2 linked regions of the Caenorhabditis elegans genome follow. The protein of the gene in region 2 purifies or fractionates together with the protein of the main gene of each other region. This does not show direct contact. Each region holds a gene or a part of one and is shown on either strand. Other genes may lie near its edges.

Region 1 (17,254 bases), on a different chromosome or scaffold from region 2:
CCATCAAGTGTCTTACAAGTTTTTATAGTTCAAAGAATGCTCTTGGTCTGGAGATTCTTTAAAAACAAAAATCCAAAAAAATTCTATCGTGGTATTTCTGTCATGGACTATGGCAGTAGCTGAAGTCTTGAATGACACAGTCGCCAGAAAGATGGATGTGAGCGGCGGCAGCAGTATGAAGAAAAATTCATTTTTGTACTTTTTGGCACGTTTTGACCTGACTTTTCAGATTTTTTATAAAAAATTTAGCTCGGATGATTTTGTGGGACGTTACGCCTTTCGAAACCAAAAAAACTGAGTAAATTTCGCAAAGTTGAATTCATGAAATATTCAAAGGTTATTGCTAGGCGCCAGTGCCGACACAGAAAATTTTTATAGGCTACAAAAACAATCAAAAGCGCTTCTTCACTTCTTTAACTTTGAATTTAACATAAAAATCATACATCTGAAAATTATTGGCGTGCGTGGGAGGTGTGTTTGTGTGGGAAGTGCCGCGTGCCAAAACACCGTTTTTTCGAAAGGGTTCGCTAAATTGCCGAGGTGATTAAAATCGCACCTTATTGGGAAACATTGCAAATTTTAGGTCAAATTGAAGGAAATTTATTCAGCGATCAGTATTCGATCGAAGAATGTACGTATGACGTGGCAGTCGCGCGAAAAGCTCATGTAAAAGAGCGCTTCATGTGTTACCATACTTTTGGCCCACCCTGTAACTGATAAAGAAATTGATTGCTACTTTATGGAATTGATTGATGATTGCTTTGTGAAAACCAAGTCAATTTCTGGAAACAATCAAATTCGGCACTTATCAGAAGCGATGAAGACGGCGAGGGAAAAGGTCGTCCTGAATTATTTGACCGCGGCTTCCGTCGTGATATATGGATTTCCAGTTGTCGCAAAACACACTTCAATCGGGAATAACGGCAAGGAAAACTTACCTATAACTACAGGCAGAATGATTTCTTATTCAAAAAAACCGAAGATAAGAGAAACTGAGCCGAATTCTTCGAATCTTATCCTTGCATCAAATTATAATAATATCACTTCAAAGGCTTCACTGAGTCAAGGTGAGGAGGCAAAAAAACCAAAAAAAACTAACAAGACAACGAAAACCGATTTTTTCAGAACCAATTAAGTTGAAGGAAACAACGAAAATTCAAAAGGAAACTGTGTCCAAGACTCCGAAGCAGAAATCTCTAGCTTCAAATCAAATTCTTACCTTGCGTTCTGAAACTATGAATCAAGAGGTTCCCAGAAAAGCCATAACAGAGACACGGAGCAAAGTTCAGAAGGCACCTCCGCATCCTACAGCCTCTCAAAATGAAGAGGAAAAAGACAATTTGAAAAGAACAAGAAAAAGAAAACTGCTTGTTTCAACCATTCCTAATTTCTGCAAAGAACATGGAGCGAAGAAACCTAGAACTACTCGACCGAGTTCTAGATTGATCAAAGCTTTCCACGTTGTTCAGAAAAGTTAAATGATTCACAACTACTTGAACCCATGTTTTTATTCGAAAGTTTTGAAATAGTAGTTATTGTCAAGTTATATTTGAAACAATAAAAATGTACGGTACTATGTTTTGTTATTATCGAGAAAATACGATCACAAAACTTTCACAAAATTTCTTTCCAACTCACCTGGTGAACTGGTCTCTCGGCAATTCGGCGCCGCTTTTCAACCAACCTTATCATCTTTTCAACTTCCATTTACAAAAGTGGCTAAACTTGGTTGAGGAGTGGGTAAAGTTGGGCTAATTTGGTGAAAGTTTGTTAAATCGGAAACATCTTTCACGCTGCTGCAACACATCTGTGAGTTTTTGCGCTGTAAATAATGGCGGAAGGATAGCATCTGCCTTGTCGTGGATTAGACCTTGCCTGCATTTTATCTCGCGCACGCGAAACTTTTCAACAGCATTTGAATAAGATGAGTACTCGAGTTCCGAGAAGATGGATTCCTGGGGCAAATTTGGAGTTTTTTTCAAAATATTCCAGAGATTTCGATACTCCGCTTTTTTAAATCATTATAAAATTTGAAGATTTCAAACATGATTTTCTTCACAAAAAAATAACGTGAAGTAATTGAAAATACTTAAATACACCGTCTCTTGGTGAATAAAAAATATTTTTAATAATTAGGTAATATATTAGACTATAACACATGTATTTATTGTATTAATTATACAATTGTAAAATTTCCAAAATTTTTTCAATTGAAAATTTCAAAAAATTTGAAATATAAAGTTTTGTGTCATATTCATCAAATTCTCAAAATATTTCGAGCGTTTCAAAGAAATGTCTAACCACTTCATAGTTTTTGAAGTTTTTTGGTCAATCAACTTTTAATATCAGAAAGAAGCTTCTAGAAATCCTATCCATTTCTAGTATCCTCATACTAAATATATTACCATCCATGTTTACTTCATCTCTGTCCCCTTTCCCATATGTTGTTTTGTCCTCTAATCTATGATCTCTTCGTTTTGTTTGTTGTTGTTGTTGGTCGTTGAGCTCTTATTGTACTAGAACATTCCTCCCCTTTTTTCCATCAGTTCGCTTCACATTCGCTGTCGTATTGTGAATATTGTGCTAACGAAAATTTTACTAAAAGGAAAATGGATATTCTCTCTGATATTGCCAATGCCGTTCTTCCACAGGTAAATGCGTTTATATTTTGGGACATTTTAAGTGGATGTATCATATAAAAAATTAATATTCGAAAATAAGACAATTATAATATGAAAACTTTAAATTAACTCACTTTACAGGACGTTGTTTCCAAAGTAGAGTCGAAACGTGCTGTAGCGGTTCTCCGTGGAACTGCTGTCTTCGGAACTGTTTGGCTTACCCAGGTGAGAACTGGTTGAAAGATTTTTTTTTGGTATTTTTAAAGATAAAGCATCGCCAATGAGATCAGAGAGTTTTCCCCAAAAATTATATTCTGTAGAAATATGTCAATTTTCGCCTATCATATAAAACGCAAAAATCACACCATTTGAAATGGAAGTACAATTGCGCTCCACTGCCAATTGGTCTCGTTAGGTATTGGCGACAGAACTGTAAAATCAAACTTTTTTATTTATTTTTGCTCCAAACTTTCAGTAGTTGTTCAATTGCATTTTTAATTATTTTCAGGCCAAATTTTTTTTAAAATGAATATTGTAAAAACCTAAAAGCCACGAAAAAACTGCCCAATACCTAACGAGACCCATATTATTATATTATTATATTATTTCGCGTCGGAGCGCGGTTGCACTTCAACTTCAAAAGGCGAGAAATTTTGGAATGGCACTAGGCGAAAACTGACATTTTCCATTAAAATATAAAATTTAAATTTTCTTACAATGTGTTTAATAGGAAATTTCCACACCGGAGTCATTCCACCATTAAAATAAATTGGGAAAAATCAAATCCCTATTTATTACTCTAGACCGTTTCAGAAAGCCGAAGGTGAAGAGACCGAATTCGAAGGAGAGATCAAGGGATTGTCACCAGGACTTCATGGATTCCATATCCATCAATATGGAGACTCAACCGATGGATGTACGTCTGCTGGGCCACACTTCAATCCATGCAAAATGAATCATGGAGGAAGAGATGTAAGTGATTTCACAGGCTATTTGTTATCTCTAAATGACTATTTTCAGTCCGTGGTCCGCCACGTTGGTGACCTTGGAAACGTTGAAGCTGGCGCCGATGGAGTTGCGAAGATCAAGTTCTCCGATAAGGTGGTCAGCCTCTTCGGAGCGAACACTGTTATCGGACGTTCCATGGTTGTCCACGTCGATCGAGATGATCTTGGTAAGCTTTCGACAGAAGGTTCTGATAAATATCAAAACATTTCAGGCCAGGGAATCGACGACAAGGCCGAGGAGTCTTTGAAGACTGGAAACGCTGGCGCTCGCGCTGCTTGTGGAGTCATTGCTCTTGCCGCTCCTGCATAAATCTTATTGACTGGACTCTTTTTTTCTAATTTATAAGATTTTTGACATTTTCCATGAGAAACACAAATCCTACTAATGTACATAGACTTTCGCTGCTTGTAAATAAACGTTTTATTTAGCTTTGAATTTTTTTTTCGGCAGGACCAGCGATTTCATGTTCAGAAATACGTCTTAAACTCAATAATATAAAATTCAAATGCCTGATATTTGAAAATGGAAGAATACTTTTGAAAAGTTCGGCCACGGCCAGGTTGTGTACTCCTCGTGGAGAAGAGTGTTTTTTGTTGCAAAGGATTATACAGTTTTCGCATAAAATACTTGATTTTTCTTTTTTTTTTGGATTTTTTCTCGTATTTTGATTCGAATTTCCTATTTATCACGAGTTTATAAAAGGAAAATTAAATTTTTTTTTGTATAAAACTTTAAAAAACGAGAATTTTTCTATTTTCAACCGTAAATACATCAATTTTCACCAATTCAACTTCGAATAAGAAGTGAATTAACAATTTTAATGTAAATTGCAAAAAAAAATCAGCATAAATGATCAGAAAATGAGAATTCTACCCGAAAACTACAGTATTACTTCTCCACGGGGAGTACACAAGCTGCGTAAATCGACACACGGCCGCGTTAGTCGTTTACGTGTTTTACATTAATTTAAAACGTATTTTTCATGTTTAAATAAACTTTGGAAGCCATTAAAAGCGGAAAATTAACTATTTTTGGCTATCGTAATTTTGTAAAATAAAATATTTAGAAAAAAATAATGTGATTTTCGATCAGTTATCAGTGATAAGCAAAGCAATTATATAACTTCCCACGCTTTTCACTGCATATATATAAATATCAGAAGAGGGATTCCTAATTGTCAGTCTTAACCGGCAAAAGATTTCCTCTAGAGATTTACTCTGCGTCTCCGCGGTGTCTGCACTCTCTCCTCGTCTACCTTCTTTATCTTCCCTTTTTACAGGCCATCTTTTGATCGTTAAATCGATTTTTCTCTTGAGAAAATCCATTTTTAAATCATTTTCACGTGGACGCCATGCTTTTTTAATATAAAATATAAATGTCGTCAGATTACGCACATTCTACGCAATCACCGATCAAATTAAATTTCTCGTTAACGAGAAAATTTTTTACCTCTTCGTTTTTTATCTTTTTTATCTCTCTTTTGCGATCCCCGCGTGTTGAACTCCACGTTGAAAAAATAAAAATCAGATAGAACAAAAAATGACGATTGCAGAGAAAACGAGAAGATCGAAAAACGGATGGAATGATTTCGGCACCAGTTGAAATGTTCAACAAAGCGAGTTTTCTCACGAGACTCGTCGCCTCGTCTGTCCGAGTTTCAGAGGCTGCCGGGGGTCTTATTAAAGTGAGTTTTTTTTAAATTTTAAAATATAGAATCTACTCGAAAAACTGTTAAAAAAGACCTCTCGTCAGGCCGAAAAGCTTAAAAAAATCAATAATTTAAGTTTAAAAATGGAAAAAAATTGTTTCGTCTTTCAGAATGTCATGGCCGGCGGAGATCTCAAAATCATCGATAAATCGGAGCACGGATCCGGCTACGATCCACAAACGGAAGCAGATCGTCGGGCTCAATACTGCATAGTTCAGTCTCTGCAGAAGCATTTCAAGAATATTAATATTATCGGCGAAGAGGTAAAAAATTAGAAGCTCTCAAAAATTAATTTAGAAAAGCATAAAATTTAATTTTTTTTCAGGAAGACACAACTGCTTGCCCGGAAATCGAAATGGGATTCAGTGCGGACGTGCTCCAAATGGAACGCCTGATGAGCACGGAGCTCAAGAATATCCAGGAAAATGATGTTGTAGTCTGGGTGGATCCGTTGGATGGAACATCAGAAGTCGCGTTGGCAGTTAAGAATAAGAATATGGCATTGTTGGAGCAGGTCACTGTGTTGATTGGAATCGCGTATAAGGGACGACCGGTGGCTGGAATTATTCATCAACCATATCATGAGAAGCTTGGAAGGACGGTTTGGGCGATTCAAGGTTGTGGAGTTCATGGAGTTGTTCCGGCTACTGGTAATTATTGATTAAAATTTTAAAAAAATATATTAAAAATGAAAATTTTCGCGAAAAAGTGCGATTTCGTACTCAAAATTACTGCCTGGTCCTGGTCCTAGCAAGAGGAAAATATTCTTCTTTCTGGTCTTGAAACGACCAAGTACTGTAATTCCAAATTTTCAAAAAAATTGATTTTTCATAGTTTTTCGGCAAAATTATATTTATTCATTTAAAAACCTCAAAATTTAACTATAAGAACACATTAAATTTTAACAAATTATACTAAAAACTATGAAAAATTTCGAAAAATTGATACAAAACAGAAGTTTGAACCTACAGTACTCCTTAAAGTCGCATACCTTTTTGCGTTTACAAAAATTTGTAGTTTCGAGACCAGGTACCGTATTTTTTCGCGCAAAACTCGTAAAATGTAGCTTTTAATAATACCGAAAACATTTATCAAATAAAAAAAACCATTTTCCGTATTTGTCACCAAAAATTACCACTTTTCAGCTACAGTACCCAGGTGTTTTAGTTTTTTTTAAAGAAAAAATTACGAAAAACACTGGAATCGCGAGTAAAAAAAATTCCGCTCGAGACCGTAATTTTTGGGAAAAAATCGCAAAAAAAAAACAATTTTCGAATAAAATAAAATTGTGCAAAAAATTTCAAAAATGTTTAATCAATCAGTCATGAACCTTTAAAACTAGAGTACCCCCGATTTTTTCGCTGCTTTTTACAATTTTTCAATAAATTATATTTTCCAGGAAATGCTCAAAAAATCGTGGTGACAACTCGAAGCCATCTCAGCGAATCTGTCTCCAACGCCCTCGAAGCTCTGAAAACTCGAAATTTGGCGGATAGCGTTGAAAAAGTCGGTGGAGCCGGATTCAAGGTGCTCAAAGTTCTGGAAGGGTGTGCAGCGTATGTCTTTGCAAGTGCTGGTTGTAAGAAATGGGACACGTGTGCAGTTGAAGCCGTGTTGACTGCTGCTGGAGGAACTCTTACGGACATTTCGGGCCGTGATATTCGATATGAGCCCGGTGTGCAGCTTAATAATACGGGAGGAGTACTGGCGACGGCTTCATGGGTCAAGCATAAGGATTATATCGATACGATTCCACAAGAAATCAAGAATATGTTGCCGGAGATTTCATCGAAAAAGTGATCTGAAGCATTCCAAATTTAATTTTTTTCCTTTTTAATATCATTTTCTTTCATGTCTAAATATTTTTCTTTCTTTTTTTAGTGTTGTAAATGAAATTATGAATTATCAAATTTTTTTTTAAATTTTCGATTTTACGGAAAATCGATAAAAAAACATAATTATTTTCTTCGAAAAAAAAAATGAAAAAATGGCCGAAAAATCGAGATTTTTTTTTTTGAAATAAAATCGAAAATTTTTCGATTCTTCGGTTAATTTTTTTGTTTTTCGAATTTCTCTAAATAATTTTTTTTTGATTTAGCGGTATTTAAAAACAAGGATTTTTTTTGGGAAAAATAGGAGAACAACCAAAAAAAAAAAGTGTGATAAACTTGAAAACAACAACAAATAACAAAAGAAAAAACGACGCTGCTGCTTCACATTTCGGCATCTCCAACCATAATCTTCTGAGTCTGTGGCAGATATGATTCCTCCTCGTCGAGTCCAGCGGCTTTTGCTCGTCGGAAATCTCGTCGTCCGCGGGCGTCTCTGATAAGCTTGTGCTCCTTGGCGGCTCTGAAAATTGTTTAGTTTTGCTTTGGAATTTCCACAAAATGTTGTTTTTCCAAAACGAACATTAGTGAGAAAATACAGAAAATCACTTGATTTCTCTGAAAATAATATTATTTTCAGCAGCATAAATGCTATTTTCAGAGAAATCAAGTGATTTTCTTCATTTTGGCACTATTTTTCAGTGTAATTGGCCAAAAATTCTGAATTTTTTCTGCAAAAAACCCACGTGAAAATATGTCTTGGCACATTGCGATGCTTTGCGATTCTTCGTACTTCTGGATGGTTCTTATAGGTATCTCGAAGTTTTTCATTATAAGCGAAAGCTTGTTTCTCTCGTTTTGTGAGTGGTCCAAGCTTCTCCGCGGCATTCGCTTTCCAGACACGAATATTCATTTCGTTACTTCCAGATAGAACGAATTTCGAATCAGCAGACCAGAGTACGGAGAGGACTGAGGCCATTCGTTTTGTGTAGTAGACGTCTCTGAAATTGTAGAATTCGAATTAATTCTAATTTTGAAGTTTATATTTTAAAATTTTGGAGTGCTAGATTAGGGGTGGGCGGCAAACGATTTTTCCAGCAAATCACCAAATTGCCGGAATTGACTATTCCGGCAAATCGGCAAACTGGCAAATTGGTGGAATTGCACTTTTTTTTTTGGAAATTCCGGCAAAATCGGCAACTTGCCACAATTCAAAATTTCCGAGAAATCAGAAATCTGGTGAATTTCTGGCAGATCAGAAATCTGGCAAATCGGCAACTTGCCACAAATCAAAATTTCCGGCAAATCAGAAATCCGACGAATTTCCGAAATTGAATATTTCCGGCAAATCGGCAACTTCCCACAAATCAAAATTTCCGGCAAATCGGTAATCCGGCAAATTGGTGGAATTAAGAATTTCAGGCAAATCGGCAATTTGCCGAAAATTAAAATTTCCGAAAAATCAGAAATCTGGTGAATTTCCAAAATTGAATATTTCCGGCAAATCGGCAATTTGCCGAAAATGACAAAAAATTTGCCGAGCGGCACATGCCGCTATCCCTGTTCTAGATTGCCGATCTACAATATTTTCAGCAATTAATATTCACCTGCTAGTCATATCTCTAGCCTTAAACAATCTAATAGATCTATCATATCCAGCAGCCACAAATTCTTGACCAGTCGGCGAATAGTCGACATCAAGCACAGCAGACGTGAATCCCTGATGAGATTGAACAGGATGTTCCATATATCTCATATCAAATGTGTACAGGCTATAGTCCTCGCTAGCCACCGTGAAGTTATAGGCCTCCATCGGATTCCACGAGATCTTATTCGGACGCATTTTCATCGTCACCTTCTTCAGTGGAACGTCTTGTCGCGTGTCGAGCACGTAAATCGAACGATCTGAGCGGGCGCCAACGATCACGTTCTCTTCGACTGGATTCGCTCGGCATGTGTGAATTGTGTCAGTGCCGAGATTATAACTGCGTAGTGGTGTCTCACGATACGGCTTCCAAACACTAATATCTTCTCCACAAGTGACAAAATCCGAGGAGAATGAGAGATGAGAGACTCCATACACAATTCCATCCATTGCAATTGAATGGGCCGGCGTTTTCTGTTGTCCTTCGATCTTCCAATATTTGAGTTGATTGTCCTGTCCAACAGTTACAAAGTTTTCTCCATTATTATTATCAATTGAAATATCATTAACAAGTCCTCGATGTGCGTCTAAAGTTGCTTGACACTCTCTGGAAGCCAAATTCCAGATTTTTACTTGACCATCTCGGGCGCCGGAGAAAACTGTGGATGGGCGATCTGGAAAATTGAAAAATATTTTTTTCTAGAGATTTTCAAGAAAAATCAATTACTCGGATGCTTTGCAAGAACTTGAACTCCGTCGACATGGCCGTCAAGACTCGCAACGAATGGTTTAGCGAAAACTCGCTCCAATTTCGTGGCATTTAGAGCACGTGTGTATTCAACTTGAGATCTGAATGGGTCCGCTGGTGTGTTGAAGTTTCGAACGACTGGAAACATTGAATTAATATATGAAATTATAAAATACTAGGAAAATCTTACTTTTGTTCCTTTTGTCCGTGGTTTCTCTTTGATAAGTGTTTGGATTTCGAGAAATCACCTTGATTTTCATTTTGTTACCTGAAAAAAATCACTTAAATTTCGAGGAAAATTACGAAAAGCTTTTCTTATATAAAAACAATAAAAAAGAAAAAATTTAAGTGTCGTAAAGTGTGGTGTGCGGTCCGCAAACTTGCGTGCGGTGTTCACGTACCGCGCCCTAAACTCGAAAATTTATTTTTTATTCTAATTATTTTTTTGTAATTTTCGCATTTTTAAGCGCAATTTTCTTTCTTTGAACAGTTTTTTTTTTGTTTCAAAAATTAAATAAAATTACCATTTTTCAGAATTGTTGTCTGTTATTTCTCCAAACCCCGGGTATCATAAGAATGGCGACGTCGTTGACAAGCCAGTTGGAAAATTTGAGAACATCGGCCGCTCGTCACTTGACGGTTGAGAAGCGCCATGTTTCTTTATTGTTCGATAGAAAAGAAGCCAATAAACTATCAAATGAGACCGCTCACAGAATTGGTAAGAGCTTCGAGAATTTAATTTATTTATTCTTTATTATTTCAGGAGTTGCGGGACTCGAGCAAATGAAGAGAATCGACCCAGTTTTTGATACAGAATTCGCCAACGATCTATTCTCTGAAGAGCGTGTAGACTTTGTCAGGTCAATGCTCGAAAAAGGCGCCAATGAAGAGCTCAACAAACAAATCGAAAAGCTTCTTCTGGAACTTTCTCCGTATCTACAACATTTCGCTTGCCAACAAGTTCTTGAATTCCTGATCCACACTTATCAAATCTACTCTTTCAACGCCGAGACGCTTCTTCTCACTTTTCTCCCATTCCACGAGACCAAAGTCTACTCCAGACTTCTCCGTATTCTGGATTTTGACTGGAAAAGATCGAAAGAATGGCAATTTATGCAGCAATTCACGAAGACGGAGACACCAATCCCATTCACTTCAATCGCAAGAGCCACGTTGTCAAGCAAGCATTCGATTATTACCTGTATCACGGATCACATCAGACATGCTGTTGAGATTGTTGGAAGTGACTATTTGGAAATTAAACATCCTATTCTCTTCAATTTTCACGCGAAATTGTTGTTGAGCATGTTCACGGATCCAGAAAAAGTCGACGAAATGATGCTTGCCAAGTTGATGCCGTTCATCGAAAATGGAATTAAAAGCCCAATGAAATCTTTCCGTTACTCTGCAATGGTTGTCATCTCCCAGCTGGTGTTGACGGTGAAGCTCAAGGATGAGGTTTTGAACTCAATGTGCAAGCTGCTGATCACAAAAATGCGATCGGACACCGCAGCAGCTTCACTTTCGACTCTGATGGTTGTTTTCCAGCAGCAAAACGTGCAGAGTTTGTCGAAGAATACGCTGAAGAAGCTGCTCCGCCACGAGGAAGGCATTGATGTCTGGAAGATTCTGAAGGAACTCTCAGAGCGTACAGATACGACAAAGTTCTTCAATGTTCTGTGGAAAGAACTTATTGTGTTGTCAAAAGATGCAGAATCTGAAGATAATACCTTGGCGATTGATGTTCTTATAGAAACTATTGAAGATGCTTCGATTTTGACTGGAGATCAAGCTGGAACAATCTTGAAGCTGATCCTTCAGGAAGGAATGGACGGAAATATTTTCGATAATAAGAAGAAGCTGAAATCGAATATTCGAGCTATTGGAATGCGATTTGCGAAGCAATTTGATGCGATTCACGCCGAATTGAAGGCTAAGGACAAGAAAACCTTGAAAAATGTGCTCAAAGAATACCAAATTGAAGATATTGTGCAATTCGCCAGTGAAGCTGTCGCTGCCACTCAATCTGAGGAATCTATTGAAATTATTTCCGAGGAAGCTCCATCTTCCAAGAAAATCAAGCTCACCGCTTCAGAAAAAGCTCAAAAGCTGGCTCAAAGTTCAGAATTCGCGAAACGAGAAGTTTTCTCCGGTGACCCGATCAATAAGGCGACCGAATGGTTGAACGGAGAGAAATGGGACAAAGTCGAATGGGCTCTGAATGAGATGGCTCAACGAGGAGAGAAATATTTCAGTCGTAAGGTGGAAGATGACGTCGAGCAATTTGTGTTGGAGATTGTGAAGGTTGTCGGTGTTGGAGGAGTCAAACAGATTGATGGAGGCAGTGTTAAGGCTGCGTTGGCTGGGGTAATTTTTGTCGAATTTCACTATATCAGCCCTAAAAAGTCCGAATTTCCAGCTTGAAAATTTGAATGGCAAATCAAAATTTCGAAAAAAAAAACCAATTTTTGAACTAAAATTTGAAATTTCCCCAAATTTTCCGTGTCGTAGAAGCTGGAGCACAGTTTTTATCGATTTATCCCACATTAATTGCATATTTTGGTCATTTTTTTTCTCGCCGTAATTCGTTATATATTTAGGCATATTATAAGTAGATAAGCTCCGAAATTACCAAAATTGGGTGCCAATCTGCCTAAAATTTGGCAAAATCAACAAATTTAGGAGACAGTTCGATAAAAACTGTGCGAAATTTCAGATTTTAGCAAAATTTAGCTCTTTTTTTCGAAAATTGACATTTTTTGAGAGGTCTCAGTACGAAATTTGATTGTTTCCTGTTAATTTTAGTATAATTAAGCAAACTAACACAAAATCTTCACCCAATTAATCTGATTTTCAATTTTTCTATTTCAGGCCAACCTCAACCCCCAATTCGTCGCTGACCTGCTCACCAAATTCGATGGAGTCTCGGAAATTGCTCCAAAACGAACCAAGGGTGCTCAGAAGAAGAATCTCGTCGAAAAAACGTTTGGAACCGAAGAATCATGGGAAGCGTTCAATCAACGTGTCGTATTTGTGTTGGATCTTCTGAATGCTCGTCAAATTATTCCGTCGAGTGAAAAGGTTCTTGCTGCTCTCTTTGCAGTTGTTAAGCAGTGAGTTTTATTTATTAGAAATTGAATTTAAACAATAAAATTAAAATAATTTCAGAGTGAACTCCAAATCCGACGTGGAAAGCTCGTCATACCAGCAGCATCTCGCTGTGAATGCCATTCGAAAGATCCTTGAACATCCTGAAAAGACAAAGATCGGAGCGTCGGAAGTCGACATGGATTGTGTTATCGAAACGATGCGATCCACTCACAATCATCACCTCCTTCGAGATTGTCTCCGTTTGATTGTGGCCGCTGCCAAGCACACCCCCAATTCAGTGGTGAAGCACGTGATGTCTGTATTCACGTTCATGGGAAATGGAATGCTTCGAAAAGACAATGAATTGACACTTTCAATCGTCGAAAAGACTGTCGAATCGCTGTTCTCAACGATCATTAATAGTTCTGGACAAGCGGTGCTCACCAAGCAACAGCAAACCGAGAAGCTCATCGAGTTGGCTCGGCTCTTCGCCGCGAGTGCTATAGATATCCCAGCACATCGTCGAGCAAGAATCGCACAAGCCATCGCTAGAGCTGTTCAAGCAGAGAATGCATCGACTGTTGTGCTGGTGTTGGTGTCCAGTTTCTGTGCTCGCTGGCAGAGATCTTCAGATGCAGCTGCTCAGGAAGCAATGAAGCGAGGATCGGATCAAGATGCTTATGATGATTTAGCAATTGAACTTCTCAGTGCTCTCAATCCATTCGAGCAGCTTTCAAGTGTCCTCGAGATGTGTGAATATGTGCGTCGTCTTGGAGGTGATAAGCCAGCGAAGTCCACCACCACCAAGAAGGATCTGGACACGATGATCTTCGATCGAACAGCTCAGACTTTGCCGAGAATTCGACATTTCCGATATGTAGTGGTCACTCTTATCTCGAGAATCTTCTCAAATCGAGTATTGATTGAAAGATTAGCTGCGTATGATGACGAGGAGCTTCTGAAGAATGCATTACCACTTGGAAAGAGGCTTATCGAGTGCTCCGTTGAGCTGGATGAGTTTGCGAACAAGGAAGCCAATGATCAAGATGGATCAGATCCACAAGCTCAAAGATATTGGGTTGCATTCGCGTCAAGAACCGAGGTGGTCAGTGAGAAGCTGAGACACTTGCTTCCAGGAGGTGTAGCCGCTCGTCTCATCGCTGATGTTCTTCAAGAGTGTGTTAATGACAAGAAGATGTCGTATAAGATGTGCGAGAAAGTCCTGCAACTCGCGAACATCAAGCTCGGACACGATCGTTACCTATTCGCCGATAGTGGAATCAACGAGAAGGAGCTTATCACGTTGGCTCAGGCTCTCAACAAGTTTATCGTTGCCGAGACGAAGAGTGAGGAGAAGATGAGAATGTGCCAGAATTCTGCGTATACGTTGAAGTTGATCGCGAAGAATCTTCCGTCACAATCGGAATCGCTAGTTCTCGCAGATACAATGCAACGGTGTGTGAGCATTGTGAGCCAATATCAGAAGCTCGACGAGAATTTGACTGGAAATGTGCTTCTTCTTGCCGGAGAGCTCATTCGTTCGCATAATATGAGATCTACGATTCATCATGCGACAAGTCTTTTGAAGACGTGTCTAGCAACTGTTCAGGAGTGTATCGCCAGATTCTCGAAGCCTCAGTATGATTCTGCAGCATCTCCAGGATCATCGGTGGCAGGTGGACGTGGAAATCGAGGTCACCGAATCAGACAACAATCACTGGGAGGAAACAAGTTTGGAAGTGATACCTTATTGGTACGGCAGAGTTTGTTACACTAAAAATAGCTCGAAAAACCTGAAATTTGGCTTAAAGTGTCATTTTTCTGGAGCATTTTTTCGAGTTTTGCCTGAAATTTGGAAATTTTTCAGTCAAAATTGGCGAAATTTGAATTTTTCGGTTAAAACTGCCACTTTTTCTGGAAAAAAATCCCAATTTTTAAAGCTAAGAGTTAAAGCTTTAAAGCTGAAACTGAATTTTTTGGAAAAAATAAATAATTTTCAGATTTAAATGACGATTTTTGTCAAATTGTGTAATAAATCTACAATTTGAGGCGAAAAACGTCATTTAAACTCGAAAATTTGATGATTTTCACAGAAAATTAACAATTTTAACTTCAATTTTTTAGATTTTCTTCCAGACAATTGATAAATTTCGCCTGAAATTTGTAGATTCTGCCCTTTTAACTCAATTTTTTTCAATCTTCAATTTTCCAGATCTGCTCCCTAACATGCATCCAACGAGTCTACGATCAATTCGCCTCATTCGTCGTTGAATCGACTGGTGACGTCATCATTCGATATTGTCGGCTTATTGCTCGATTCGGAGATCCATCGGAGCTCCTGGCTCTCAATCAACCATCTTCTAGCACAACAGCAGCATTCCAAGGAGGATCACAGACTAGTGGATTTGGAAGTAAAACTGGAATCCATCATCGTCTATCGTTGATTCGTCGTTCATTGCTTTCTATCGAACTTCGCGTGCTTCCTGCTCATATTGTGAAGACGGTTGGAGAGTTGAAGACTGAAAAGGTATCAGTTTACAAAAATTTGAATTCCCCGCCGAAAATTGACTAAAAAGCCGAAAAATTGACTAAAAAAGTGCCAAATTTCTTGCCAAATTTCGAAAATAAAATTATTTGAGAAATTTCTGAAAAATCAAATTTTTTAGTTACAAAAAAAATCAGTTTTTTTGGTGTCATTTTGAGTATAATAAAAACGCGAAAGAAAAAATTCTGGCTGTTGTCGTTTTTCGGCAAATCAACAAGAATTTTCCGGAAGTTTTCAATTCTGGCAATTCGCCGGAAATTTTCGGCAGTTGCCTTTTTTCCGGCAAATTCGGTAAATCGCCTATTTGCCAGAAATTTCAAATCCGGCAATTTGTCGATTTGCCGGAAATTTAAATTCCGCCAAATTTTCGATTTGCTGGAAATTTAAAGTTCCGGCAATTTGCCGAAAATTTAAATTCCGGCATTGTGCCGATTTGCCAGAAGTTTTCAATCCCGGCAATTTGCTGATTTGCCGGAAATTTAAATTCCGGCAATTTGTTGATTTGCCAGAAATTTTCAAAATATAAATTTGCTCTAAATTTACAGAAGGCTCTCAGTGCTCTATTCAACTTGCTCACTGGATACATCGAAACTCAACATCAACAGAAGCCGGAAATCCTCCGTAAATCAGTAATTCAGCTCAGAAGAACCTTCGTCAGTGATGTCATCACTCCAACATTGATTGTCAGAAGTCAAGAACGTCAATCGGATCAATTTGAGAATGTTGAAAAGCTCGAGCACACTGTCTTCAATTTCGTTATCTCCATTGCCAGTATTCTCAGTGAAGTGGAATTCCGTACAGTCGTCAATGAGCTCGTCGCTTGGGCTGAGCCGGGTCTCGAAGCGAAGGCTGATTTGGCAGCCAGACTTCGACTCGTTTCACTTCTCCACTTTGCCAATGATCTCTACACTTCGTTCAACTCGTTGGCTCTTCCATATTTCGGTCGAATTTTGGAAATTTCTGCGCTCGTCCTGAAGAAATGCAATGCGACGCTGCTGCTCGGAACAGATGAGCTGTTGTTGAGTGGAAAACGAGGATCAATTGAGGCATTAGAGACGGATCTGGCACTGACACTTGCGATTGATGTCATTTCGAATGCTGCTAGGCACAGAGACTTTTTCACTGTGTGAGTTGAAGTTGGAGCAGCTCACCGAAAAAAAAATTCGACAAAAAAAAAGAAGATAAAATCAAGTTTTTCTCCTCTACCCGGCTAAAAAATAGCCTTTTTAAAAAACTTTTTTGGCCGAAAAAAACCGAAAAATACATTATTGAAATTGTATTATTTAAGGTATTATTTATTTATTTCAAAATCTATTAAAAAAGAAAACTTCTAAATTTTTAATATACCTCAGTTTTCAACTATCAAAATTTTAAAAATCGATTCAAAAAATTATTTCAATGATATCATACTCAAAAATTCCCTATTTTCCAAGAATTTGGAAATTCTTCACAACTTTGACTGGACTTTTTTGAAAAATATAGGATTTTCTAGACCTCAAATCTCAAATCATCTGTAATTTTTATCAATTTTGCAGTGATCGTTGTCAATTGGTGTCGGATGTGATAGTCAATGAATTGGTTAACACGAAGGTTGAAGGCCATGAGAAACGTTGTTCCGATCACCTGGTTCCAGCCATCTACCGTATCGGAAATGCTGATCCGGACAGCTTCCCAGAGCTTCTGAATAAGATAATGCTCAAGACAAGAGATTCGAGAGCAAAGATCCGTTATCGTGCTCTCATTGTTCTCGAGTTGTTGATCAAGGAGATCGGAGATGGAGTACAACCGCATCTTTCGATTCTTCTTCCGTTCCTTAATGAGCTTATTGAAGGTTTGTTTCGGAAATTTTGTAAAAATTACAATAATTCATTCATACCAAGAGATTCATCGTAATTTTTTTCTTTTTTTTCAGGAGAAATCGATAAATCAAAAAAAAAGTTTAGAAAGTTAACCATAAAATCCAATTTTTATTAGAATTATTTTCAAAATCCTTAATTTTTTAGTTAAAAACTGTAATTACTATATGAAACAAGCTTACATAAAAGTTATGAAAATCCACT
Region 2 (16,207 bases):
GGCCACTTTTCCCCATCTAGTTCGCTCCATTCGGAAGCGGAGTGAGCGCTGAAAACGTGGTTTTAAGTATTAGTAAATTAAACTCACCTGCAATTGTACAGAGGAATCTTCTCGATGGAGCCATAGATGATGATGCTGTCCATCTTTGAAATGAAGTTAGCAATGAGGAACAGGTGATATTGCCAAAAAAACTATATAGTTCCGCACGGAAACGTGTCGGTAACTTTATTATGGCGGAAATTCGCAACAAGTTGAGATGTGTTTTGATAAAGCATCATTAGAACCTTAAAAAACAACACTTGTTTTTAGCTTGTTCATGTCTGGTGACGCCCCAGTTTTATGTGAAAACGTGGTTCCTGCTAATTTTGATGACACGCGGGGTAGAAACAGTGAGGTATCCACATTTTCTGAGAAAGTTATTTTTGCCTAGAATTCAAATTTTCTGATAGAATGTTTGACGGTAACTCATGTCTTCTAAGAAAAGAATTGACGGATGTTCAAAGCATTTGAGAAAATTTTTCAAAAGATTGAAATTTTTGAAAAATATTTTGGCGGAAATTCAAATTTTCTGAGAAAAAAATATTGGCGGGAAATACATTAATTTGTTGAGAAAAATTATGACAAGAATTCAAATTTTCTGATAAAATATTTTGGTGGATCCTCAATCTTTTTTTCGAAAAATAATTCAGACGGAAAATTGAATTTCAGGTGGAATTTGTTTTTGGGAAATTTTTTGAAAACATTTCAATAAATTAAAAATAAATAAATTAAATTAAAATATTTTGGCGGATATTTGAACCTTCTAAAACAGTTCTGGCAGACATTCAGTTTTTTTAAGAACAATATTGGCGGGACACTAAATTACTCTCAAATATATGTTCCGGAGTATGACGGGCCCTTTTTTAATCATCTCATCTTTCATCCCAAGCCTTTTGCGTTTCAATTTAGGCATCTTATCCGGTTTGCGGATCAGGAGAATATGAAAGAAAAATATCGCTCTAGCCAAAAAACAATCAAATTCAATTCAAGAACACCTTGAATATGCGATTGTTTCATTTTTTGAAATTTTTGACAATTAATAATTTCAGTAGATACTGCTTGAAAATTGTTAAAGTGCATATTATTTGGATAACAATTATTTGTATTATTTACTTTAATTGGCGATTCAAAAAATTGGATTTTATGGCGTAAGTTGACAATTTTCAACTGTTCCAATAAAAGTTAAAATTTAACTTTCCAGAATTCCATATCCACCAGCTGTTATTAAATTCAACACTTCTGCTAAATATCTATCCAGCAATTTAGCTTCGAGCAGTCAGTTAGGGAACAATATTTTCGAAATTGCAAGCCTCTATGGCTTATCCAAGCATTTGAACAGGACCCCTCTGTTTTTTATAGAAAATGGGTATCATAAGAAAATGTTGGACAATTTGAGAAAAACGATGCCAAGGCTAATGGAGAAGTTCAGAATTCTTAATGGAAGCGTGGGTGTTTCATTTGTTGAAATTTTAGATAGTCATTTTCCTCCAACCAATCAGCGACTCGCCCAGGCCACGTCTAAACCAACCAGATAAAGTGTGTGGAGTTCGACGACACTGATTGGTTGGAAAGTGGGAGGAGCGACTTGTTGATTGGTTTCTCGTTTTTTTAGTTTAAGAAAGGGGTATAGCAAGTTGGATCAGCAGAATAGATTAAAAACAATAGTGTTTCTCTTTTGTGGAATTTTACATTGTTCTGGAAAAAATTGGGGGATTTGCAATTGAGGAGACTATGACTGTAAATGATTTTGTACCGGTAAACCGTGACATTTACTCGACTGAGATCCGAAGTGACTAAAACACGGAGATAGTAAATACGTGCGAAAACTTTCATTTTCCTTGATTCCTTAACCTGTTTAGCGTTAATCGCAAATTTTTATCTTGATCGAGAAATTAGAAGATACAAATTTAAATTTCAGCTTGAAACATGGGTGTTAAAATATTTTTTTCATACTAGGGGAGATCGCATACCTTCTAATGACAAAATGCCATTTATACCAACCCTACAGTAATCCTACAGTACAACTTCAGTATTCCTATAGTTGCACGAAAACATCCCCACACTAACCCCAACCCAAAATCCCTTCCAAAGACAACAACTCGCATTTTCCAAAACTACAGTAACCCTACAGTACACCTACCCACCCAAAACGTCTTACTAGTGTTAATTTCGTATGTAGTTTGCCATAACAAGATGAGAAACCTAGATTGCGCTTTTGAAATATTTTTCGGGCGTCGAATTGCAACGGGAATTCGGGTTTGTCGTTCAAAAATATCGCACTGGTGGTGAAGAACTTTGCAGCCGGACATAGATATTCCGAAGTGGAACTGGGCGGCAGTTGGCTAGATAAAGAGGATTTTCTAATTTTTGTTAAAGGTGACATAAAACCAGAAAATGCAGAAAATTTACAGCTTTTTGATAAGAAAAAAAATTGAAGCGGTAAAAAAAGAGTAATTCTAATTTACAAAATATATACAATAATATGATCTACATAATTTTATTATCAGGTACCCCGCTCAATCAGCGAAACGAAATTTCAAAGGGCATGCTGCTTACATAAGAGTCCGTGGAGTTTGGAAAAAAATCGAGATGAGTATTTGCACCTCTCCGGAAAATATTATCAGGTTTTGTTTTTAGAATTATTTTATTAAATTCAGCAAAAACAATGAAATCAAGACAAAAACTAACTTTTTTTTTGAAATTGATGGTTAAAAATTAATTGTGAGTTAGAGCTTCCATGGGAGGCAGGAGCAGAGCCTGAAGGCAGGTTTGAGACAAGCGACAGGCCCTGATACCGCTCCTGTAGTAAAATTAACTTTTAAGGTTCCATTCTTCAGAGCTGGAAATATTTCCCCAATATGCGAAATGAACTTATCGAGTTCTTAAATCCTACATCGATTCAAATTTTTGGCAATCTGCCAATTTCCGATGATCAAAATCACGTGTAAGAGCAGAATTTTCAATTGAAAAAAATTGTCAAAACTAATTGCAGAACTTGTGTTCATTCTAGAAGAGGCGATTTTGTTGAATACCTCTTCTATGCGTCGGATCCAAAGTTTATGAAAAATGCAGTAACATTTCTGAATGAAAATGGTATGTAACTAGTTTATTTTGCAACTTTTGAGGTTTTTTTTTCAGAAAAAGTAGGAAGTAGAAATCGAAAAATAGTATTATTTGGCGACGATTTGAATTTTTTGGAAACTTATTTTAGTGATGCAGTATTATCTACAGATGTCGGAAAAAATGTAAGTGTTAACAACAGTTCAACCATATGAAAAAATTTATTCCAAAAATTCAGGCAGAATATTATATTTCTCAAAACCCTCCAATCGACGATTTTCTCTATTCAAAAAATAATTGTGATGTGGTACTGATCACAGGTGATTCGGGGAAAAGGGCGATTTCGGTTTTAGAACTTTGAAAATTTTTCGAGGGGTAGGATTTTACGGCGACCTACAATTTCCGAGTTTAGCCACTCATTAAAAAATTTTATGGGCCAAACTCGGAAGTTGTCGGCCGCCGTGAAAACCGTCCCCTTGGAAAATTTTTCAGAGTTCTAAAACCGTTCGACCGGACGCCAAATATGCCAGCCCTAGTTGAAAGATTAAAAAAACTTAAATGCTGGCTGAAAATTGCTCCTTGTCGAACATTTTTCAACGGGGATTTTTACGGCGACTTCCATACTTTTTTTGCATTTTTTTTTTACTTTCCAATAAAAAATAAGCTATTTTCAGATTGAACAGGTACTGTTATACATTCCCATATCAAATTTTCATTCAGAAACACCAAAATTCCAGCTCCCCGCTCAACATTCGGCTGGTGGATTGGGTATTTTTCGAAAGGAAACAAAGTTTACTATCTGGATATTAAATACACTGGGGATCATATTTTTGTAACTGGATTATTGATTTTCTTTAAAATAAAAAATTTTTGCAGGAATCTGGAGGTCTTATTGCAAGTGACTTCTACCCATCACACTGGACGCCTCTGAAATTTGCAAGCGCTAATAGTTTTACAGTTGTGAGGAGCTGACATTAATGTGTTTTTTTGTAAATTTACCAGTTTAGTATTAGCTTCATAAATATTTGATTTTAAGAAAACCTTATATTATTTATTCAGCACTGACTCAAATTCTTTTTTTAAACTATCATCCGTACATCTACAGCGACCGAAACATGGAAAATGAGGATTTTGCAAAATCGGGAGGACACTTTCAATTTCCATGATTTTTGAAGGCCTTTTCAGGTTTAATCTCTATTTTTAATCTCATTCGAGAAATTAGAAGATAAAAATTTCAATCCGCGCTTTTCGGGTAAGAAAGGAATCGGGATATCCTTTAAATTATTGAAAACTTTATTGAAAAAACCGTATCAAGAAAATTCAAACATTTCCGGATGGGAGTACTCAACAAAAAACAAATCGAACACTTTAGCAATATGATTCTTCTCTTTCCGATCCCTCACGTCTGCTTCAATAGCTCTATTGATCTTCATCAGCCTCGCAAGTCTTCCAGAATAGTTGACTAGCTTCAGCTTCTTGGTATAATACTCGTGCATATTATCCGATTGAATTTGCAGTATTTTCTCAGTGGCTTCTAGCACGTGGCCCTGATATTTCTGCCCAGCACTGTTCAGGCACAACTGAATGAGCATGAAGTTGAGCTCAACGTTTGTGGGGTCCAGTTCTACCAGGTCCGAAAGAGCATGTCGCCAGTATTTTTCGATATCGGGGACTAGAAATCTGAAAATTAAATTTAAAATTAAAAAATCCAAAGCCGCCATAACCCTCTCAACTGCTCCACAGAATAGTTCGAACTCCATTTTATATCGATTTTAACATTTCCAGGATTCATGCAAGTATTGTCTGTCCACATGTATACATCATTTCCCAGCAATTTTTGTCTATGAAAATCCGCAGTTGCTGCTAGCTTGTCCAGTCGAGCCCAAATCATCCAGGAAGTTTTGAGAATATCTATCTAGAAAAATTCAAGTAAATATGTAGAGCATCTGATAAAAAAGCATTACCTTAATTTGCGGGTCTAGCATCGAAAATTCTGGAAGCCTGGCAAACCATTGAGCAGCTCCCAAAAATGATTGCTCCAAAAATAGCAACGCCTCATTTCGTCCAATAGTTGTCGCAATCTCCAGTTTTTTGCTCGACTCTTTTAATTTGATTTCTTCCATCTCGAAGGTTAGCTTTTCCAGTGAGTTAGGGTAATGATTAGGACTCCATGAATATGCAGCATCCTGGAAAGACTTGATGAGTAATAGTTAAAAATTTTGCGTGAAATCTGATGTAAGTTTCAGGAATACACCATATTTTAGGCGCAAATATATCTCCATTACCTCTTGAAAAATCGCCCAAGCTTTATCGACAAGACTTGTCACATCCACCAGACGTTTCGTGGAGCTGGCTTTGTCCGGCTCACAGCACAAAATGAATTCGGGCCGGCCGAGAAAATTTGCCAAACTTTGAGGTGCGCTGGTTTTCGTGTAGTTCGTTGGACGGAGGGAAGACGAAATGAGGTCCCGGTCGTTTTGAAATTCTGTAAATGACATGAAATTAATTTCATTCTATTCGTTTAAAAAATACCCACTGCTCGAGTTCATCCCAACTTCACAACACTTTTTCAACCGACAGATTTTACAGCGATATCTGAAATTTTTTACAATTTTAATTTTTCAAGTTTTCAGCTTCTACACAAAAAAAACACTTACAAATCATTTCCAATGCAATTTCCCTTTCTGCAAACTCTATCCTGATATTTTGCATTTTGAAGTGCGGCTCTTCGGAAAAATGCGGCACACGCTCGGCAACTGAGCACACCGAAATGATTGCCGTGAGCCGGTTGCTCGCAGATCTCGCATGGCCCGGAAAGGTAGAGGGCAGGTGGCATTTTTAGTTATACATAAAACACGTGAAAGAACGATGATCAATGGTAGTGTAGAACCGATAAAACGTGCCGAGAGACGCAGACTGTTGAAGGAAAGGAAAATAAATAGACTGCGGTTTTAGGGTGTAGGGAATATCAAAAGATCAACAAATAAAAATAGAGTGCCGTTATATAATAGTCCAATAAGTACAAATTCCATAAAAACACAAAACCTGTTAGGTTTTTCAAAATTTTCAGTCAAAAAATCTCAAAAAAGTTGGGCAAGTTTTAAAATTTTTTTTGGTCATTTTAAAACGCATGGGTGGTTTTTTTTTAAATTTATCCCTGACAATACTTGAAAGAAAAAGTTAGAAAAACATTTTAAATGCTAAATTATAGCAGCGAACTTCCAAAGTTCAGTGAGAGTTTTTTAGTTTTCTCAATGGAAAACAGCAGTTCTAGAAATAACAAAATTTGATATCTTAAAGGCGGAGTAGCGTCAGTCGTGATTTTGCCTAAATATACTTATTATGATCCAAAATGACCAAATATTATAATAAAACACTCGAAAAAATTTTAGATTTTTCATAATTTCCGGTCAAAGTTTTGTCCAGTTGCCAAAATTTTTGACTGAGTAATTGTCACTTTTTGACAGCAAATAAACAATTTTCAAAAAAAAATCTTTGAATGGTTTTATTATGATATTCGGCCACTTTGGCACCATCGGAGTAGTTTTTAACACTTTCCCCCACTGGCGCTACTCCACCTTTAAAAGTGATGATTGAATAAAAATTTAATTTTTCATTCAAAATTCGATTTTTTTTAAATCAAGGATACATTCATTAGTAAGTTGTTTAACAAAAATTTTATTGTCAATTATTAATCAAGTGCCCTCAAACATTTCCGGATGCGAATAAACAATTGAAAACAGGTCAAAAACTTCGACAATCTTCGCTTTTTCCTTTCTCTCCCTCACATCTTCCTCGACAATTTGGTTGATTTTCATCAGTTTTGTCAATCGTCCAGAGTATGATGGCATGTTCAACTTTTTGGTATAATAATTATGCAAATTATCTGCATTGATTTGCAAGAGCTTATCAGTTGCCTCTAGGACACGTCCTTGAAATTTCTTGCCAGCATCGTTAAGGCAGAGTTGAATGAGCATGAAGTTGAGCTCCATATCTGTTGGGTTGAGCTTCACGAGGTCTTCCACTGGCTGTCTCCAATGCTTATCAATATTTGGCATTAGGAATCTGTAAAATTTTCTCTTAAGAAAATTTAAAAAACCTGAAACTTACGCTTGCATTTGCTCTGCACCGTAATTGGTACACCAGCTCCAGTCAACATTGATATCCTGCACATTCAGACAAGTGTTTTCTGAGCACATAAAAATGTTTGCACCCATTTCTTTAATTCTTTGATTTTGTGCTGTTTCAGCTAGCTTGTTCAGTCGAATCCAAAGCATCCACGTGGATTTTAGTATTTCCAGCTGGAAAATTACAGACTTTGTTGGCTCGAAATTTAAATACCGAATACCATACCTTAACACGAAGATCCAGACTTGTAAAATCTGGAAGTCTTGCGTACCAGTTCGCGGTCGCCAAGAACATTTGCTCGAAAAAGACAAGCGATTCAGCTTTCCCAATATTCCGCACAATTTTTACTTTATGATTTGAGCTTCTTAACCGCAAGTCTTCCATTTCCAATGTGAGCTTTTCCAGGCTATTGCTGTATTTGTAGGGCATTGGTGAGTTGGCTAGGTCCTTAAAATTGCACAATAGCGAGCAACCGACAAATTACAGGACGGCAAAATTTGATGCGAAAAAAACATCAATTGGCCCGTGAAGTGTCGGCTTGTGCCAAAAAATAACCTTTACCTCCTGGAAAATTTCTGCAGCTTTGTGAACCAAATCCGTCACATCTATCACTGTCTTGAAAGGAGAAGCCTTTTCGGGCTCGAAACTTATTATGAATTCGGGCCGCCCGAGAAAGTTTGCCAAACTTTGTGGAGCATAAACTTTCGTGCGTTTAAGGTATGCATTGGAGCTTGAAATAAGGTCACGGTCCTTTTGAAATTCTGAACATTTAGATATTAAAATTTTTTAAAAATTCTTTTTAACCCACTACTTGCGTCCATTCCGACTTTGTAGCACTTTTTCAGTCGGCAAATTTTACAGCGATATCTAGAAAATTTGAAGTTTTTTTTTTCAATTTCCAGCAAACACATACGCTCCAGCATCAAAAATCCGGCAATCCCCATATTCACAGGCTTTATCTTGAAACCGAGGACTTCGAGAAGCTCTTCTGAAAAATGCGGCGCAAGCTCGGCAACTGAGCACACCGAAATGGTTTCCGTGAGCTGGTAGATCACAAATTTTACACGGTCCTGAGATGAGAAGGGCTGCTGGCATTTTGTCGTCTGAATTGCTAAAGATTTGTTCAATTTTTTTTTGAGAAAAATATTGGCGGGAAAATCAAATTTTCTCAAAAAAAATATGGCGGGAAAATCAAATTTTCTTGAAAAATACTTGGCGGGAAATTCAAAATTTCTAAAAAAGAATATGGGCGGGAAATTCAAAATTCCTCAGTAAACAATTAAGCTGGAAATTCAAATTTTTGTTAAAAAATAATTGGCGGTAAATCAAAATTTTCTCAAAAAACTATTTTTGGGAGAAATTAAATTCAAAATATTTTTGCGGGAAATTTAAATTTTCTACAAAAATATATAATGGTAATCAATAAAAAAAATTAAATAAAAAGTCCAATACATATCAGTTGACAGAAAACTAAATACATACTAGACATATAAAATGGAAACCAATGATCGGAGACGCAGACTGCTAAAGCAAGGCCTGGTGGGGTTTGAAGCAACATCAGCGTCAATAGAAAAAGTTGCCAAGAGTGACGAAACTACGAAAATGCTTACATAATGTGAATGAATAATTTAAGACAAGGAACAAATCTCCCCATTTTTTAAAAATTCAGTCTAGGCCAGGCTTGTTTGATGTTTGAAAAATCACACCAAAAAATGCGAATTTTTTTCCGATTAAAAAAATTTTTGACGGGATCTTGAAAATCTGGAGTTTTTATAATAAAAAAATGAGTAGTAATGACCGAATATAAATGTAAAAAAATGTATTAAAAGTTATTGAAATTTTGGAGATTTTTTTTGTTGGAAAAATCAGTGTATTTTTTTAGAAATTTTGAACCGCCTTAAAAAATTCTTCAAAAATTTCTAAGAAGTTTCATTACAAAATTCGTTCATTTGAGCACATTTTGGGCCTATACGCTCAAAATCGTCAGAACCGTTAGTCCTCCTTCAAATTAAAAAAAGGAAAAAAATTGAAGAACATTTTTGAAAATTTGGAAAATTGAGGTATTATACTCAAGATTTTTTTAGAAAAATTTTGAAATTTTAAATAATTAGAGTTAAACCGGATAAAAACATGTCTAACAAAAAACGAAGCGACAAATAAAAAAAAGGAAAATTTCACTAGACTTTTGAGAGGAAAATCTGATTTTTTCTGCGATACCAGGCGCAGCCTACATATTATTATCGCACGATCTTGAATCCTGAAAAGCCAATATATTTCCTATTGATTCGATTTGTTGCTTATTCTTTAAATACATTTGCTGTATTTGTAACTCTCTGAAAATTTAATTTTCAGTGCAAAATGAGTGATGTGAAACATCAAATTTTGGATCTAGAGATTGATAAGAAAGTCAAATCGAGTTCTAGTTCGGTACGCCAATTTTTTTAAAATTTCATTTTTTAATTCATGATAGCTTGGAAATTAGTTAATTTTAGATCATTCAAGGGTTATGCTCAATTCAACTTTTATCTATGATCGCAGTTACCGCACACCACACAGCCATGCCATTTTTTGTACAAATGGCTAATACGGTAAGGATCTTAATTTTCAATTGCCAAGAAAAAATCACTATTCAGAGCCATTTCCTTCCGACAACTTCGGTTTTTATGATGGAAGTTTTGAAGTTATTATTTTGCCTGATAATTGTTTTATTTAAAACAAAAAGTTTTGAGAAGTAAGATTCTGGGGAAAAAAGTAATGTTCCAACACACTTACAGAACTGGCAAAAAGCTATACGAACACATTTGGAAAAATCGAGTGGAAACCTTGAAAGTGTCGGTTCCAGCAGTGGTATATGCTATTCAGAACAATTTATACTACATTGCACTCGCGAATATTGATGCGACAACTTATTCGGTAATTTTTGCCCAAAATGAAATTAAGAAAATATGGGATCAATATACCAAATTCAAACTGTAAAAAATTTTTTAGAAATTTTTAAATTTAGTATGATTTTTTTTTGAATTCTTCATACAAATCACCTAAATTTTGGCATTTTTACAAAATGTTTAATTTTTCTTGGCAATTTTTATTGGGTTTTCATAGTTTTCATTAGTTTATTTAATTTTGGCACTGTTTGTCTTTTTTTTTAAATTATGTTTTTGAAAAGAAAATTTGGTAATCTCTAAGAAAAACGCTGAAACATTGAAATTGATCCAATTTCTTTGTAGAAAAATGTCCGAAAATGTGACAAATAATAATTCAAATTATGATATACAAACAAAACCGAGAAAATAAAATTTTAATCCTAATTATGCCAAAATGCCAAAATCTTAGTTGACTTACGCGAAAACTCAAAAATGATTCAGCACTTATAAGTTTATATTCTAAGTTGATATTTAAAAAGACATATTAACCGGACATTTTAGTGATTTTATTTTTTCTGAAATTCCTGGAAATTAGATTACATGAGAAAATTCACGAAAAAGTTACATACGTGGTATTTTTTAAATTTTCAGGTAACTGTCCAATTACGCATATTGACCACCGCCCTTTTATCCGTCATTATATTAAACCAAAAGCTCTCCAATTATCAATGGCTGGCTCAGGGTATGGCTCTCATCGGTGTGGTTCTTGTGCAGGTATGCTCCTCCTGGAGTTATCGACTCTAAATTAATGCCTCCAATTTCAGATTGACAATTCTAACCCCCATGGGAAAGTATTCGGAAATTTCTGGCTAGGGATAACGGCTGTGTTTGGTATGTGCTGGACAAGTGGCTTTGCTGGTTGGTTACTGTACTTTGGACCTAAAATGAAGTAACTTTAAGGTGTCTACTTTGAAAAAATGCTGAAAGAATCGTCAGCTGACGTGTGGGTTCAGAATATCCGGCTTTCAACTTTAACACTGCTTTTTGCTGGGATCACAATGCTCTCTACAGACGGAGAAGCCGTTCTTACAGGTAAGAAGGCTTTAAGGAGCTCCTGCTAAAGGTGGAGTAGCGCCAGCGGGAAAATTTTTTGTAAACCACTCCTATTGTGCCAAAATGATCGAATAAAAAAATTTTTTGAACATTTTTTATTTACAGTGAAAAAGTGTCAATTACTAAGTTTTTGCCACTCATAATTTTGTAAGTCGACCAAAAAAATTGTTTTTTCTACATTTTTTATACTTTAATTTTTATTCAATTATTTGTATTAAAACATTGAAGGGATCGGAACATGCGACATTGTTCTGGATTTCCTGAAAAGCCGATAATTTTTAAAATTATGGCAATTTGTCAAACCTTTGACCAAAAATTATGAAAAATCTGAAATTTTTCAGAGTGTTTTATTATAATATTTAGTTGTTTTGGAATATTATAAGTGTATTTACACAAAATCCCTACTGGCGCTACTCCACCTTCAATAAATTTTTGAAATTTCAGGAAAAATGTTCTTTGGCTGGAATTGGATAGTGTGGTTTGTTACAATTGGTAATTCAATCGTAGGTCTTTGCATTTCGTTGGTAATGAAGTACGCCGATAATGTGATGAAGACGTATTGCCAATCGCTTGCAATAGGCCTCACAGCAATTGTGTCCATATTCCTTGGTGACCGAACTCTTAGTATAGATCTCATTTACGGAGTTCTACTTGTCACATCTTCTATTGTGGTATACTCACGGTTCCCGGCTACTACATCTACAAAATATGAGCCACTGGAACAGGACAGCGACGCAGAAAAAAATTAAGAAAATTTATCGTTACTATATATTTGTTTGTACTATTGGTTTTCCACGGAATAAATACAATTTAATCAAACCAACTGTGTTACCGGGCGATAGCGTTCTTGAAGATTGTTCCGCTTGATTCAATATTCGTGTCTATCCTACCAAGAAGCCCGGCGGACATTCAACATCAAATGCGACGCTATTTGATGGATCTAGATGGAATAGTGGCGTTTTGATGAACTTTAGAGATAATGAAAAAACCGTTCCCATTTTCAAGATGTGCATTTTTATCGCAAAATTCACAACTTAAAGGTGGAGCAGCACCAGTGTAAATTTTGTCTGAAAACACTTATAATGAACAAAAAAACCGAATATCATAATAAAACACTCCAAAACTTTTCTGATTTTTCAAAATTTTCTGTCAAAGTTTTGGCACATTGGCAAAATTTGAAAAATATTAGCGTTTGAGAAAATCCAAACGAATGTCGCATGTACTGACCCCTACAATGTTTTAATACAAATTATTCAAAAAAAAAAAAAAATGTAGGAGAAATTTTTTTTGACCGACTTCCAAAATTACGAGTGGCAAAAACTGAGTAAGTGTTACTTTTTGACTGTTAAAAAATTCCAAAAAAAAATAAAAAATATTAAAAAAAATTTTGAAAAAAGTTCCATTATGATGTTCAGGCATTTTGGTCCACCAAATGTGGATTTTTGCAGACTTTCAATGTTTTTTTGACTCCCAGATCCGCAGTGCATAGCGCTTGAAGAACGGATCGTTCTTTAATTTTTTTTAATTTTAGGGAATCAAAAAATTTGTTTAAGATTATTCGAAAGAAATATTCAAAAAATTTGAAATTCTGTTAATTTTTAATATATTATTTCCATATTTCGCAATACAACTTTGCCCCGATTATATAGACACACTATGTCAATAACCGCAGTCTACCCCTCATACCACTGCCCGATTTTATTCTATTTGCACTTTTGAACTTTTCTTTCACATCCTGCGTGTCTTACATTTCGGCAATCATGTGTTGATCATACACTTATTAAATTCTCAAATGCAAGTCTCAAAACGTAAAAGTCTCTGTAAAATTTGTGGTAACCCGGCGTTTGGCAATCATTTTGGAGTGCTCAGCTGCAGAGCATGTGCTGCATTTTTCAGGTAAGAACAAGGGAGGTTTCTTAAACAAAAAAATTTTTTTTTTTAAATAAAACTGAACACTTGCAATTTCCAGAAGAACAAATGTAGATGGAGAAACATTTTGTCCAATTGGCAATTGTAAAATCGATAAACACGGGAAATTCTACTGCAAAAAATGTCGATTGAGAATTTGTCTGGAAGCTGGTATGGATGCGAACAGTGAGTTTTTGAAAATCAACTTAAAACTTCAATTTAAAAAGATTCCTACATTTTTCATATTTTTAGTCATGTGGTACAGTGCCAATTTTTCCAAATATATGGACTTTTTGAAAAATTTCTAGCACAAAAATTGTATTAAAAATAATAAAATTTAAGTTTAAAGAAAAAAATTGGCAGACTTTTAAAATTATGACGGAGTTTTCATTGAATTTTCGTTTCACAATAAAAAAATGCAAATTTCCAATGGTAGAGCAAAATTTGTACGAAGAAAAATTTTTAAAAAATTAAGAGAATCACGTGGTGTCAGGCTGTCCCATTGCGGTTTGATCTACAAAAAAAACCCGGGAATTTTTGTCCGAAAAAGTGTGACGTCAGCACGTTCTTAACCATGCAAAAACAGATGATAACTCTGCGTCTCAACTTCCGCATTTTTTAGTGGACCTACGTAGATCAAACTGAAATGGGACATTCTGACACCACGTGGGAAATCTGATTTGAACAATTGATCAAAAATTGTTGGCGCTTGAAAAATTCAAAAAAAAAAACGGAATTTTTTTTAAATATGTTTTTCTTTTTTCTCGTATTTTAAGAATAAAAAAATTTCAAGAAAAACATTTTGTTTTTTCCAGAATTTCAACACGACCGCGACCTAATCTCCACTTCCACATCGGAAAGCTCCGACTCATCGGGATCTTTTTCATTTTCCCAAAGGAGCAAGGTACCCAAAAGCATGGCAAATTTCCTGGGCCGGCCCGCATTTATTTTAAGCTGTGAGCCTGATAAAGCGAGCAAGGTGAAGACAATAGTTGATGTCACGTTTTTGATAAATCAAGCTTTTGACATTTTTGGTAATGTGAGTTAAAAAATAGTTTTAACTAGAAAAAAACAATATAATTTTAGGTTGACAGAAAACGATTTTCATCAAATAGCAATTTGGGAAGAATGACAAAAAAATTTGAGGATTTGCAAAATGAAAAATCTTCAAATTTGAGCACAATCAAGGTGTTGGGCTTGAAAGAATCTATGATCTTCTGGGAGCAAGATTTTCTGCGAACTGCTAGGTGGCTGAGCCATTTCGATGAGTTTCAGGAGCTCCCGTTGAGCATCAGGGTCAGTGAAAATAGTGCAAGCCTACCAGTCGTCGGCTGCTTAAAGTAATCATTTTCCAGATGCAAATCTTAAAGGTGGCATGGATCCTTTGGGGAAGACTGGACAAACTTGTGAAAACTGCAAATGAGCGGAAAAATCAACAGCTTAATCAAAATTTCTATATGATTGGCAAGGATGTGGGAATAGATATTGGAAACTTCGAAGTAGATGTTTCCTGGTGCACGAATTATAGCAAGGAGCAACTGGCCTAGTGAGTTTGTGCACAAAAATTTTTACAAAAATTTTCTTAATTCATTTCCAGCTACCTCGACTGCCACCACGACGAACCATTCAACATAATCGTCGACGCAATCTCCGACCTGAAGCCCAGTGACATGGAATTGAACTTTATGCTCCTGGAGCTCTGCCTGGCACATGCTGGAAAGCAGCATCAGGGGGATGTCTTGATGTTCACTGATCGGCTTCTAGAAGTTGTATCCAATGAGCTTCACGACTATTATCAATCGGAACAAATATCTAACTACTCATCTAGAATCACAAAAATGATGAAAATCAACAATTTGATTAGGAGAAACTTGTTCGAACGGCTGGAACGACAGGCGGTGGCGAAAGTTTTCAATATAATTTCTGTACATTTTTCACATCCTGATATGTTTTGTAATGCTGGGTTTTAATTTTTTGCACTTAACACATTCACAAAGTATGATCTGAAATTGCATAATTTAACTTTAATATTTATGAAGATCTCTACCAATTTGCAGTTTTTGATGTTTTAAAATCCTTAATAGTTGTGTAAAATAACACATAATTGATATATTTGGAATTGGAAAGCGCAAACCAAGATTTTGTCGGCTGCAATTTTAAGGAATTTGGAACATTGGCAAAAATTTTAAAAAAAAGTACTGAAAATATACTAGAGATTTATCAAAAATCGGTTAACTTTTATGTGTAAAAAATTATTGAAAAAATTAATTGTTACCCAAAACTCGAATAAAAGAAAAACGAAAAATTTTCAAATTTGAAATTACCAAATTGAAAAAATTGGCAAATTCTACAAACCGGCAAGTTGTGAAACTTGTCGAACAATCGCCAAATTCGAAAGAGGCAAACTGTCGTTTTTTCCAATTTTTCGTTAAGTTCTGAAGTCCGGCAGTTTGTTAAAATCGAAACTTCCCTGGTTTTAAAGTTCCGGCAAACGAGAAAATCGGCAAATTGCAAGAAAAAAAATTTCAGGCAAATGGGAAAATTTCAGTTTTTTTTTAAATTTGGCAATATAGGAAAACCGGGCAATTTGTTAAAAACAAAGATTTTCCTGCAAGTCAATATATTGGTAACAGATGTTACAAATATTTGACAAACGACCAATTAAAAAATTTAGGAAAAATGAAAATTTCCGGCAAATGGGCATGCCGCCAAATTGTTGTTATTTTTTCAAATTTTCGGCAAGTTTGGCAAACAGGCAAAAATCAATTTGCCAAACGGCAAAGGCCTCTGGCTCATCTTTCAAATTTTTTTTAGATTTTCAGATAAATATGCCTCCACCTTTATTCCTATCGGGTCCATGTGAAATTTGCGGGCAAAAAACTTCGGGTCGACATTTTGGAGTGATGAGTTGCAGATCGTGTGCTGCATTTTTCAGGTTTCAAAAACTCATTAGATAGAATTTTAAAAGCTAAAAAATTGCAGAAGAGCTGCGACGTGGAAAACTGAAAGAGCCGATTGTAAGAAGGAGAATTGCCAAATTTTTGAACGTGGAAAGTAGGTTTAATTTTGTTTAGGAGTTTGAGCAACTGGAGCAA

What was found.
Region 1: the proteins of nhr-184 (region 2) and dcaf-13 fractionate together in Caenorhabditis elegans (co-fractionation; one large-scale study listed by BioGRID). This does not show direct contact.

Annotation. Positions count from the first base shown.
Region 1 is NC_003280.10:4,415,076-4,432,329, forward strand, and holds dcaf-13 (DDB1- and CUL4-associated factor 13), read right to left. Parts: upstream 9,828-17,254; 5' UTR 9,820-9,827; coding exon 9,750-9,819; intron 9,698-9,749; coding exon 9,539-9,697; intron 9,486-9,538; coding exon 8,774-9,485; intron 8,168-8,773; coding exon 7,913-8,167; intron 7,690-7,912; coding exon 7,551-7,689; 3' UTR 7,445-7,550; downstream 1-7,444. Other genes in the region: ZK430.5 (separase), read left to right, coding at 891-1,067, 1,126-1,478; sod-5 (Superoxide dismutase [Cu-Zn]), read left to right, coding at 2,610-2,651, 2,763-2,846, 3,435-3,593, 3,642-3,795, 3,841-3,938; bpnt-1 (3'(2'),5'-bisphosphate nucleotidase 1), read left to right, coding at 5,233-5,313, 5,448-5,600, 5,663-5,987, 6,737-7,137; toe-1 (HEAT repeat-containing protein 1 homolog), read left to right, coding at 10,136-10,277, 10,323-11,926, 12,431-12,672, 12,728-14,402, 14,862-15,176, 15,740-16,320, 16,730-17,025.
Region 2 is NC_003283.11:2,206,139-2,222,345, forward strand, and holds nhr-184 (Nuclear Hormone Receptor family), read right to left. Parts: upstream 8,341-16,207; 5' UTR 8,323-8,340; coding exon 8,141-8,322; intron 8,095-8,140; coding exon 8,036-8,094; intron 7,989-8,035; coding exon 7,789-7,988; exon of another isoform or gene 7,675-7,788; coding exon 7,453-7,674; intron 7,401-7,452; coding exon 7,210-7,400; intron 7,165-7,209; coding exon 6,795-7,164; 3' UTR 6,733-6,794; downstream 1-6,732. Other genes in the region: srt-40 (Serpentine Receptor, class T), read right to left, coding at 1-48, 88-143; Putative galactoside 2-alpha-L-fucosyltransferase svh-11, read left to right, coding at 1,042-1,187, 1,241-1,484, 2,547-2,663, 2,877-2,983, 3,032-3,132, 3,178-3,284, 3,338-3,419, 3,837-3,931 and 1 more; Nuclear hormone receptor family member nhr-133, read right to left, coding at 4,410-4,779, 4,824-5,014, 5,064-5,285, 5,385-5,584, 5,636-5,694, 5,757-5,935; nstp-8 (Nucleotide Sugar TransPorter family), read left to right, coding at 9,586-9,654, 9,720-9,815, 9,861-9,958, 10,002-10,140, 10,743-10,865, 10,916-11,009, 11,052-11,183, 11,649-11,953; nhr-56 (Nuclear Hormone Receptor family), read left to right, coding at 12,997-13,100, 13,174-13,298, 13,928-14,151, 14,199-14,408, 14,468-14,658, 14,710-15,082; nhr-128 (Nuclear Hormone Receptor family), read left to right, coding at 15,941-16,047, 16,095-16,166.